Notamacropus eugenii: one gene and its partners. The protein of the gene in region 3 purifies or fractionates together with the protein of the main gene of each other region. This does not show direct contact. Links are inferred from orthologs where the notes say so. Each region holds a gene or a part of one and is shown on either strand. Other genes may lie near its edges.

Region 1 (3,744 bases), on a different chromosome or scaffold from region 3:
GAGGGTACAGTATGCAGCAATGCCAGGGAGCCGGGTAAGAGGGCGGGTGGGTCCCCCGTAATCTGGCGCTGTTAAAAGGACCGTGGCTTCGGGGACGCCTTTAGCCCCTGCTATTTATTTACTACCTGCACAACGTTGGGCGAGTCAAGCTAACTTCTCCAGCCCTGCTTCCCGCTCTGTAAAATAAAGGGACGATGCTCAGCTGTTCTAGCCCTCCTTCCCTTCCAGCTCTGAACCCTAAAAGTCCCGACCGCACCCTCTAGGGCGGGTCACCCCTCCCGCATTCCCCGCTGGGTCAGGAGTGTCTTTGCTATAGACAAACACTTTAGTCTGGACCCGGACAGTTGAGTGGGTAAGACCAGGCTCAGCTCAGAGCAGGACCGAGCAGTCCAGCCCTTACCGTCCAGCGCGGGCACGCTCTGAGCTGCGGAAGCGCGCACGCCTGCATACGTGCACACGGCACGGCCACCTACTTACGCAACGGCGCGTCTTGAACCCGCCCCCAGCTCGAGTCTGAGAGGCTGTGCGAGCGCGGGCTCTGGGTCACGAGGTATCACATTCGCCACGCACCCGGCGCCTCCTCGCTCTGGCCCCGCCTCCAGGAAAGGCTGCGTTTACGCTTCCGACTGGGCCTCTTCCTGTCTATGGGCTGTCGTCTTTCTTCTCGCCCCTCCCACTCCGGCTCCTGTGGCGAATCTGCGCCCCGCTAAAAAAAACCTCTGGAATTCGAGAACCTTTGAGGGAAAAAAGAGACGGACTCGGTGCCAGATACTTTCTCGCCTGGCAATGCCGCGGCTTCGTGCCCTTCTTTCTTCCCAGGAGCCGTCGTTGGTCCTAGTCCCGAGTCCAACCGTGTGTCGAAAGTGCGACCGCGAAAGCGGCGGCGCGGCGCGAGGGGGCGGGGCCTGCGCGGGACAAAGGAAGAGGAGCCGGAGCGGCGGCCTCTCTACAGAGCCCGGGTAAGTGGAGCAAGACGGGGAAGACGCGCCTACTGAGCGGGGGGCGAGAGCTCCGCGGCGCCCCTGCCTCTGCCCCGAACTTGGGACCAAGCTGGGCGGCGGGGGCGGCTGTGAGCCCGGGCGGGAGGGCGGGAGGCCTACGGCGGCCCCCGGTGGAGTAATCTCCTGAGCCTGCTGAGGTCCCGGCAGCCCCCCGACCGGGGACGGGGAAACCGGAGCTCTTTGTGTAGGCCGCGGCCCGGGAGGAGCCACGTTGTCCCTGTCGGGCTCCTGAGAGTGGCAAAGGGGAGGTCTGAGGGTGGGCGGGGGGAACGCTGTCCTGGTCCTTCCACCCCTCCCCCCAGAAGTGCGGCCGGATTCCGGCAGCACCTGCTCGCGGGGAACAGCTGGACTCCATAGTCAGAGGTCCGTGACGTCCGCATGCTCCTCTTCCTTAAAAATGGGGAAATTCCCTAGAGTACTGAGACTAGATCCACCGGGAATATTCATCCCGTTGCAGTCATGGTTCCCCCTCCTCCCTTATTCTGAAGAGCCTTGTTGAGGTGATACATGCCCCCCAAAATCATCTTTGTCTGATGCATTCATTCCACGTTGCAGTCACTGGGTGAAAGTTATCCTGAGTGGGTAGGACCTTTACTAAAGGGGTCCTTAACTTTGTCGTTTTTTCTGATTTTTTTTTTTTTAGCTTTCCCATTTATATGTACTTAGAATGACATTTTTTTTTAAGACAAACACAGTCATAGCTTAATAAATCTAGAGCTGGAAAGGACCCTAGAGGCCATCTAATCCAGTCTCCTTCCCCTACCCCCACGACCCCCATCCCATAATTTTACAGATGAGAAAATGAGGGAGAGTAAGTGATTTGCCCAAGGTTATACAGGTAAATAAATAGTCCGATGTGGAATTACAACCCTGATCCTCTGACCTTGGAGATGGTGCTCTTTCCACTATAAGTGGCTGCCCCAAAGTGTTTAGTTAACTTTATGCTCCTAAATCCTTTGTCCAGTATCAGAAATATAATAAAGTGAAACACTATTATTTCTGTAAAACTTATAGTTAGTTAAAACAAGTGTATAGGATTTAGTCTTGCAAGGAAATTTATAGATCATTTTGTCCAAGGATTCTTATCATGGACCCCTTTGACAGTATGGTAAAGCCTTCCTAGAGTATTATTTTTTTTAATAAATAAAATGCATGGGATTACAAGGAAGCAAAGGAAACCAATTCCACTAAATATATGTGTTTTTAAAAACATTTTTATGGAACCTAGGTTGAGAAATCTTGATCAAGTCTGATCACCTCCTTTTGCAGATGAGGAAATTGAGACTCAGAGAGGATTAAGTAACTTTACCAAAGTCATAGGAGAAATTTATAATTTCAGACCTAAAAGCTTTGATTTCAGATTCAGTCCTCTTGCTCATATAGCATATCTGCTTCTCTTTTTGAAAAGTTATAGTTTTCTCTTAAGCTGTGGAAATTCCTGTTCTTTGCCCAGCTTCAAAAGAGTAATAAAGAGCAGTTTCCAAGACACTAAATGGAAAGAAACTGCTAATCAGTTGTATTCTTTCTCCTAATCATTTTTAAAAAGAGCATCTTTAAATTTGCTTGTGTTATCAGTAAATATTTCTTAAAATGAGAATAGCTCAGTAATCTCATAGAATTTCAGGGTAAAATTTTAAAAACTATTGCACTAGTCCAATCGCTGTTATTTTCCCCCAATAATTTGTAATAATCATTTTAATTCAGAAAATAAGCTTCCAAGCCACATTCTTAAAGGATTTTTTTAAAAAAGGAGAAAAGGCAAAATTTGGAGTTGTTTTACCCAGAAACACTATTTTATTTATCATATTCTTTGACTGCTTAGGAAAACATTCTCTCATGCATACTTTTGATTTTCTTTGTTGTTTTGTTGTTTTTTTTTTAGTGTCCCAAGTTCATTGTTAAGGGACTGAGAACTTAATCTTCCAAAATGTCAAGTAAGTTTCATTTTTTATATTTATCAAACTGTGTGAATAAGGGACTAATGCCCTAGCAAATGGGAATTCCAAAATATTCTTTCTCAAAATTTTTCTTCAAAACAGGGCCATTGGTAGTTTTGTTGCTTAGTGTTATATCTCCGTTGTTTACAAGAAGTTATTTATTTTCTTTCAAACAGAAAGACCATCTTATGCCCCACCTCCCACCCCAGCTCCTGCAACAGTAAGTTTTAATTTTCTTGTTAATGTAATAGCCAAAAGTCTGGCCTTGCTACAAAAACCCAGATGTCTTCCAGTAGCAATCACTCAGTAATACAGCAACCAGAATGAAAACATTTCATGTAAAAATAATACTTCCTACTAAATATTTTAAATCTCTTCACACCTTGCCTTGAACTAACCCTGAAATTTTCAAAGAATAAACTGCCAAGATACAGTGATCTCTCAATTGCAAAATAAATTCCTGATAGTGAGTTTTTCTTGTACTGGGAAAAAATAAGAACCCTGTGATAATCATAACAATAATTTCACCGCTTTTATCTTGGCAATAGTCATCATTTAAAAAGAAATCATAGAATTTCAAGCTCAAAGGGACCTTGGAGGTCATCTAGGCTAATCCCATCATCGTATTAAATGAAAAAACTATTGGGTTTTTACCCATCAGAACATTCCATTTTCTTGACTAAAAAAAATTTTGCCTTCAGCTGGTTGTTGCTTATTCCCTTTTGTCCATATTTCTTTAAGAAAAAGTTATATAGTCTTTTTTAGAATATTGAAGTCCCTAGTTTTATAACAACCCTCAAGCACTT
Region 2 (3,744 bases), on a different chromosome or scaffold from region 3:
AAAAGCAGGGCAGTTAGGAGCCTCAATGAATAGAGTGCTGGACTTGGAGTCATGGAGACCTGAGTTCAAATTCAGCCTCAAACGCACAGTAGCTCAGTGGCCCTGGGCAAGGCACTTCACTTGTTTGCTTCAGTTTCCTATTTCTGTAACGGGATGTCATGAAAAGCACTTACCTCCCGGGTGGTTAGAAGGATCACATCGGAGTGCTATATTAAAGGCAGCATTATTATTATTCATTAAAATGTAGTAAGTTCCTTGAGGGCACTTGTAGCCCCAGGGATGTAGCACAATGCCTGGCCATGGGAAGGGCGCAAATGCCCGCTGACTTAATCTAATGTGAACAGGCAATCAGTCACGCAGAGATGGGCAGCGGGGGCACGCGGAAGTGGGGGAAGGAGAGCAGCCCCCCGCAGCAGCCCCTCCAGCCCTGCCGAGACTGGATGGGCTGGTTTGGCGGGGACCTTGGTGCCTGGGCTGTCTCTCCCAGGCTGGGAATGAATGGGAAACCTGCCCTCGGCCACCCCCACGGGTCTCGGCCCTTAAGCTAAAGACAGTGACATTTACTAGGAGTTGATCAGAAGGCGGTGAAGGTGCGCGATAGCTTCGGGGTCTGCTCGGGTTTTTCCCCTCCTCCTGTCCTGCAGGGGGCGGGAGCACAGCTAGGAGGAGGAAGATGCCTCCGGCGGTCTCCCGGTTGGGGGCGGGGGGAAGGAGGCGGGGTTCTGGCCAAGGGAGGGAGGGAAGCCGGCAGTTAGAGGCGGTTCTCGCGAGGGGCGGTATTTGAGGGGTGTCCCTGGATTGGGTGAGACATGAGGTATAGGCGGGGCCTAGTCGGGGGCTGGGCGGAGTCAGTAGTTTGTTGCTGTCAGCGGGAAGTGGGGACATTGCTGCCCCTCCTCCACTCTCCACCCCCCCCCCCCCCCCCCCACTTCCACCGAGGGCTGAACTTCCAGCGGGTGGGTGCAGTACCGAGCCCAGATCAGGATTTCTCCGCCTCCTCCCCTCCCAGCCCAGGAGCGGAGCTAGGACTGACCCGATCCATACCGGATCAGTGCAGAGTTTAGAAGCCGGATCAGGAAATCTCGGGTCCCAGACCGGGAAATCCCGGAACCTGGATCAGTAAAGCTCGGAGCTCGGACCCGGAAGCCCCGGAGCTCGGATCGCGGAGGGGGTTCCTTGGGCGCGGAGCCCGGAACCTGGATCGAGGCTGAGACCAGACGGGACGGAACGATGTCGGGCCGCGGCGCGGGCGGGTTCCCGCTGCCCCCGCTGAGCCCCGGAGGGGGGGCGGTGGCGGCGGCCCTGGGGGCCCCCCCGCCCCCCGCGGGGCACGGGATGCTGCCGGGAGCGGCGTTGAGGGGCCCAGGGCCTGCAGGAGGCGCGGGGGGCCCCGGGGCCGCAGCCTTCCGCCCCATCGGGCCCACGGGACCCGCGGCGCAGTACCAGGTGCGGGGCCGGGGGCCGGGGCTGGGGCGGCGTGGGGCCCGCCGGGGCTCTGGTGCAGGGGCCTGGCAGAGGAAGCGGGACTCACGGTGCCAAGTTCAAGGGTCACTCCAGCCAGGGGTCAAGGCCAACTACAGTTAGGGTTGGGGGGCGGCCCTAGAACACAGAACACCAAGTCCGGGGCTTCCCAGGCCAGTGGCTTCCCAAGATAAGGGCACCATCATAGGGAACTCAGAGGTCATCCAGGCCTGCATCCCTCAATCCCCCATTTTACAGAGGAAGAAACTGAGTCCAAAGAGGTTAAGTCGCTTGGCTGAGGTCACATAGATAGTAAGTGTCCAATCTGAACCCAAGCCCTCTGATCCCCAGGCCAAGCCCTATGGGAAGGGCAGGTGGGTATGGAATGGGGGTTGGGGGAGATTTGGTGCACGTGTGAACCTGGGTAGGGCCTTCGTGCTAAGGCCAGCCTGCCCCAGGTTGTGGAGCAAAGGGAAGCTAGTTTGAGCACCTGAGAGTGAAATGCCACATTGGCTGATGAAAGGAGTGGGGTAAAAGGGCATGTGTGGAGGTGGAAATGGAAATGGGGCGGTGGGGTGTCGGTGCAGGTGGGGACAGTCAGGGCTAGAAGTGTGAGGTGCTCCTGAACAAAAGGAGGCCCCTAAGGAGTGTGGAGATTGTTGTAGGCAGAAAGAGCACCGAGGCCTTCCATGGGTAGAGAGGAATCCTGGGTTTCTGGGGGGATATGGACAAACTAGGGGAGGGTAGAATTACTTAGGGGTAGGGGATGGCAGCCCCATTGCAGGAGTGAGGTTTCCTAGGAAGATTTTGTTTCAGGCGTTTTCTGTTTTCTGGAGCCATGAGCCGGTAATGTTTTATCTTGCCTTGGCCTGTTATGGTTTTATGTAACTCCCAGTGGCTTTTTTGGAGGGAGAGGTGGTGCTGATGGGAAGCTTAGAATTTAAGTTGAATGGACCTCTTCCTCATGCACCAGGACCTCCAGAGGAGGTCCAGTGGGTTTCCTCCGTTGGGTTTTTCAGGAAATGGGATATAGCTGAGTTAAGCCAGGTAACCAGGATAAGTCCTTGGGAAAGGAGGCCTGGGCCTATGAGAGCCCAGCTCCAGGATAGTTACAGGCAGGCATTCTCAGCACTTCGCTGTCATTGTGTCTGGGAACTGATTGCAGTAAGAGGGTTCAGAGAGACTCAGTTGAGTGCAGGTCTTGGAGTTGCTTGGAGTTGGGCAATCCTAGAGGTCAAAGGTTAGTTACTTCTGCCCCTAGAAGGCAATACCTGACAGGGATTTGTGCTGGGCTCTAGTTAGTGGGGACTTCACACCTATTTAGCCCAGTTCCCCAATCTCTTAGTTGTTTTAGATTGTTTATGAATACTTAGGAGAGTCATATCCTCTCCTATCTTCGTTCTCTACACACATTTCATTTCCGTCCACTTTGGGCTATGCTGAAGACTAAACCACCTACCTTAGCATTGAATTTTCTTTGCTGATCCACTCAAAGTCTTTGGTTGCTCTGTTCCTCTTTTCCCTCCAGGCTGAGGGCATTAGAAGGAAAGCAGCTTACAGAGGTAGGGGAACACCTATGCATTCTGCTAGCACTCTCAGATGATAACTGTTAATAGCATTTTCCCCCTTCTTACCTTTCCCAGTTGATTGGATATGATAAGCCATATTGACCCTAGTCTCAAGGCCTTGAGGGAAACAGGTCCATCTTTCCTACCTCCTGCCTTGCTCATGAGGACTTTTAGAGCCAAGACGGTTCCAGGAAGATCCAAAAACAAACCAGTTCCTTGAGCCTATCATCTTTGACATGAATTACCAGTATCCTAGGCAGCTTCAAGCCTAGTATGGATTCAGGGCTAAACTTTTTTTTTAAACCCTTCCCTTTTTGAGATGATTAAATGGCATTGAATTATATTCCCTCTCAACTTTCTCTCCTCCCCTTCCTTCCTACTGTTGGGAGCCGTAGGAAGGGTTTACTCCAATATGGGATTCATGGAAATAGCCTTGAACATGGCAAATACAGAATCAGCCAGACTATTTAGTTCACAAGACTTTAGGGAATCAATGGTCCCTTGCTCCTGAGGGAAGGGCAGATCTGGATCTAGGGGAATTTGGCAGGCAGTGACGGGTGGGGACATTTTTCTGGACCACTGGCCCTCCTTGTGCCTAGACCACGATATCTAGGGGATAAAGAACTTTGTGATGCGGTATCAGTACTACTAGGAATGTCAGATGAGCTAGGGGAATAGGGACTGTGAGTGTCTGTGGTGAAAACTGAGGAAGGAG
Region 3 (3,744 bases):
TCACAGTACAGGTCCCTTAGCCAAGCTTCAGGAGGGCTAGAGGAAGAGCTAATGAAGATAAGGCAGCAAGAAATGCAACTAGGGTGATCCCCTTGTGAAATCATCAAGGTGACTCTCCCAGTTTAGAGAAGAGAAAAATAAGGTCTGAAAAGGACCCCCAGGTCATAAAACCAACCAAATGGGGTGTCCAGCCTGACAGCTGCCAGGCCCGGTTCTTACGACCACCTCACTTCACAAGGTGCGCAGGCAAGCTGAACAAAGATTTCTAAGACCAGACTACAAACCCACGATCCCCTGCTCCGTCTCCTGAACCCAATCAATCCCCCAAGTTTCTCCACCAGTGTCCTGAGCACAAAACGCCTTCTGAGAGTCCGCTGTCACGGCCCCGCAGGCCCCAGGGTCCCAGGTGTCCCGGGGGTCTGCAGAACCTAGGAGGAGCACGGCCTGGGCAGACCTCGGACCTTCTGGGCCAGGCTGGCCAGACCTAAGGACCGCTTCTCGGAACGTCGGCTGCTCTTTTAGATCGTCACCAAGGCGACGCTGGGTCCCGGGGCAGGTGAGTTCAAACCAAGCTGCCTTTGGGTGCTGCCCAAGCTTCTCCGGCTCGGGGTCACTGACCCGCCTGAATCTACCCCGGACCAGGCTAAGAAGCCCAGGTCCAGCAATCTCGGAAACTTTCGGCAGCGCCGTGACTCTCTGAACGTCTCTCAGACGGGTCGGGGAGCTCAATGCGCCATCAGGACCCACCATCCCGCCCAGTCGTTCCCCGAGACACTGACAAAGGGCACTCAAGGCCCACAAGGTGCCAACACCCCCCTCAGGAGCCCACCCAGAGGGCCTGGGCCCTTGCCCTGAGGCGGCCCCTCCGTGTCCGGGGGCGCTCTGAACGAGGCGCGGGCCCCGGAGCCCCTCGGTGGATGCCCGATCTATGCAGGGCCCCGAGGACCCCCCTCGCCATCTCGGGCTCCGAGGCAGGCCCCACCCGGCCCCGGGGCACTCTCTCCGCCGGTGGCCGCCGCCCCTCCCCCATGACCCGGGGCGGCCGCATGGTGCTGCCGGGCTCTCTCCGTTCCGACCTCGGTGTCCCGGGGGCTGGTGCTGGGCGCCAGGACGCGGCTGGCTGCCCACTCTGGGCCTCGGGGCCCCGGCAGCGCTGGCGCCCGCAGGCCCGCGACCTCCCCGCTGCAGTGACGGCGCCTGGTCGCTGCCCTCTCCGGAACCCAAGGGAGGCCGGGCAGGCCTTCCGGCAGGGGCTTCAGGGCTACCCCTCTCCCCGCCTCCCTGAGCGGCGCCGGAGCGCGGGGATGCCTGCTCCGGGCCCCGGCCCGCGATCCCCCACGCCGCGCTCTCGGGCCCGGCTCTCTTCGGGGCCCGCGCGGCCCGCGCCCACGCTCACCTCCTCCATAGACGCCGCCGCTCATGGCTGCTACTGCCGCCGCCGCGCTGAAGCGGCCCCCGGCCCCGGCCTGCCCGGCCCCGGCGCCTCCTGGGCTCCAGCAACCGCCGCCCGCCCCCCGGCTTCCCCCTGAGGCAACAAAGCGCCGTCCGCTCAGGCGCGCATCCACACTGCTGCCGCCGCGCCGCGGGCCAATGACGAGCGGCCAGGCCTCCGCGTCCGCCAATCCGAGAGAGACGTTGCCCCCGCCCGCAGCCGTGCGACCAATAGAACGTCCTCGGGGGGCGGGGAGAAAGCCAAGCGGCGGAAGGGGGCGGAGGAGACACCGAGTTGGGTTGCAGCGCGTAAGGGGCGGGGCATAAGGGACTGGGGCGGGGCCTGCTAGGGGGAGAGGCGGGACTTGCCAAGAGCGGGAGCCCCAGAGACCCCGCAAGTCACGCGGTCCCACCCCCTCTCTCCCCCAAAACCCAGAGAAGAAGGGACTCACGTGACGTCACACATACGTGTGTGGGGGGAGCCCCGGGGATCTCCAGCTGCGGGAGGTCGCGAGGTCCTCCCCATCCTTTCCCTGGAGCTCCTGCACCAGTGCGGGGACGCAGGCCTGAGTTGCCAGCCCCCCTCTTCGGTCACGTGCTCCCGGGATGGCCTCAGTTACCTCATCTGTAAAATGAGGGCGCACTGCGGACCCTCCCAGCTCTGTCGGTGATCCCAGGGGACACGCCTGACCCAGCAGCAGGTCTGGGGCACCTCCCTCTGCGCGGGTCCCTCCCGCAAGCCCTCATCCACCAGCAGGCTCAGGTGCGCGCTTACCTGGCGCACTCGCAGAGTAGCCTCGGGCTGCTAAAAAGTCCTCTCCAGGTGCGCGGATCTGTCGTACCCGGTGCTTATGCCCAGTTATGGCTCCCATTGGGCACTTGGTGACTGCCCCTAGAACAGACCTGAAGCACTGCCTGCCTCTGGGGAACTGAGTGTGGCTTCTGGAGCCGCCCCCTGGAAGGTGACAGGGCTGGGACCCGAGAAGCGCTGACTCCCTTTGATTTGGGCAAGCCGCCAGGCATAGAAATGCTCCCGACTTTATGGCTGACAAGGGAAACCCTGCCAAACCCGCGGGAGAGATCCTTAAAAGGAGGGATCCTTATTCTAACAGCTACAAGTACTTCTTAAGCGCCTACTTCGTGCCAGGCACGGTGCTCCGAGCCTTGAGCCGGCAGACAAGAAGGCAACAGCCCATGACGTTATGAAGAGTTAATGTCATTAGAACAGGGATGATATGTTGTATATAGGGCATATAGACAGATAAGAGATGAACAGAACGAAGCGAAGCAAAGCTTTCTCCAGAGATGGTCAAGTCCTCCCCCAGGCATCGGTGTTGGTACCTGCAGAAAGCAAGCCTGCCTTTTATGTGACTCCGTGAAGCCACCCTAAAAAGCCCGGGAGCAGTTTTATATCTGATTCTGAAACTCATTGCCTTTGCCAGTAGAGGGCTTACTAGTAATGAGATTTGTTCTATGTCTCCACTGGAGTTCTTGGCTTTGAAACAGGCTGCCCTGACAAATTTTTGAGACTGAGCATGGAGCTCATTTTCAAATATGGGCGGTCAACAATCACCCTGGTAATCCAACTAGCTCTAAAATGTATGCTACCTGCAGAGAAGGCAGTCATGAGCTAAGTGTGTACTACCTTCTGGGAAGACTCAGCTCCAGTCAACAGCATTTATTAAGTACCAGGCACTGTGCTAAGCTCTGAGATACAAAGAGAGGATATAGAAATAACCATGAACAAACGATATAGTCAGGATACTTTGGAAACATTCAAGAGAGGGGAACATTAAGGATTCCCTTTTCAGAAGGTGAGACTTTAGTGGAGATTTGATGGAAGCCAGGGGGAAGAGATGAGGAGGGAGAGAGTTCTAGGTATGTATTACAGCCTGAAAAAATGCTTGGAGTTGGGAGAGAAATATCGTGTACATAGAACAGGAAGGAGGCTGCTGTCACTGGATAGCAGAGTATGTGGAGGGGGAGTAAGGTCTAAGACTGAAAGGTAGGAAGGAACTGGGTTCATGAAGGGCCTTGAAAGCCAACTAGAGGATTTTACAATGGATTTTGAAGGCAATAGGGAGCTGTGGGAGTTTGGTTAAAGGGAGTAGGGAGTATGTGACATAGTGAAACCTCATTTTAGGAAAGCTATTTGACAACTGAGCTGAGGATAGACTGGAGTGAAGAGAGATTTGAGGCAGGGAGACCCACCAACAGTCTGTTGCAATAAATAACCTAAGCTACATTTGTCAACAGCCATGGTGATACCCTACAGGAATGGTAAAGGTGATAGGTGACACACAAGTTGCTGGG

Evidence for each region.
Region 1: the proteins of ACTL6A (region 3) and SMARCE1 purify together in Homo sapiens (affinity purification with mass spectrometry; 9 studies listed by BioGRID and IntAct, with this or other methods). This does not show direct contact. The link is inferred for Notamacropus eugenii from reciprocal best matches to the Homo sapiens genes ACTL6A and SMARCE1.
Region 2: the proteins of ACTL6A (region 3) and SMARCD2 fractionate together in Homo sapiens (co-fractionation; 5 studies listed by BioGRID and IntAct, with this or other methods). This does not show direct contact. The link is inferred for Notamacropus eugenii from reciprocal best matches to the Homo sapiens genes ACTL6A and SMARCD2.

What each region holds. Positions count from the first base shown.
Region 1 is NC_092873.1:356,293,086-356,296,829, reverse strand, and holds the start of SMARCE1 (SWI/SNF-related matrix-associated actin-dependent regulator of chromatin subfamily E member 1), read left to right. Parts: upstream 1-872; 5' UTR 873-959; intron 960-2,883; 5' UTR 2,884-2,928; coding exon 2,929-2,935; intron 2,936-3,114; coding exon 3,115-3,158; intron 3,159-3,744. UniProt on the Homo sapiens protein: Involved in transcriptional activation and repression of select genes by chromatin remodeling (alteration of DNA-nucleosome topology).
Region 2 is NC_092873.1:343,813,978-343,817,721, forward strand, and holds the start of SMARCD2 (SWI/SNF-related matrix-associated actin-dependent regulator of chromatin subfamily D member 2), read left to right. Parts: upstream 1-1,032; 5' UTR 1,033-1,230; coding exon 1,231-1,446; intron 1,447-3,744. UniProt on the Homo sapiens protein: Involved in transcriptional activation and repression of select genes by chromatin remodeling (alteration of DNA-nucleosome topology).
Region 3 is NC_092877.1:344,709,977-344,713,720, forward strand, and holds the start of ACTL6A (actin-like protein 6A), read right to left. Parts: upstream 2,778-3,744; 5' UTR 2,304-2,777; coding exon 2,207-2,303; intron 1,590-2,206; exon of another isoform or gene 1,422-1,589; coding exon of another isoform or gene 1,397-1,421; intron 1-1,396.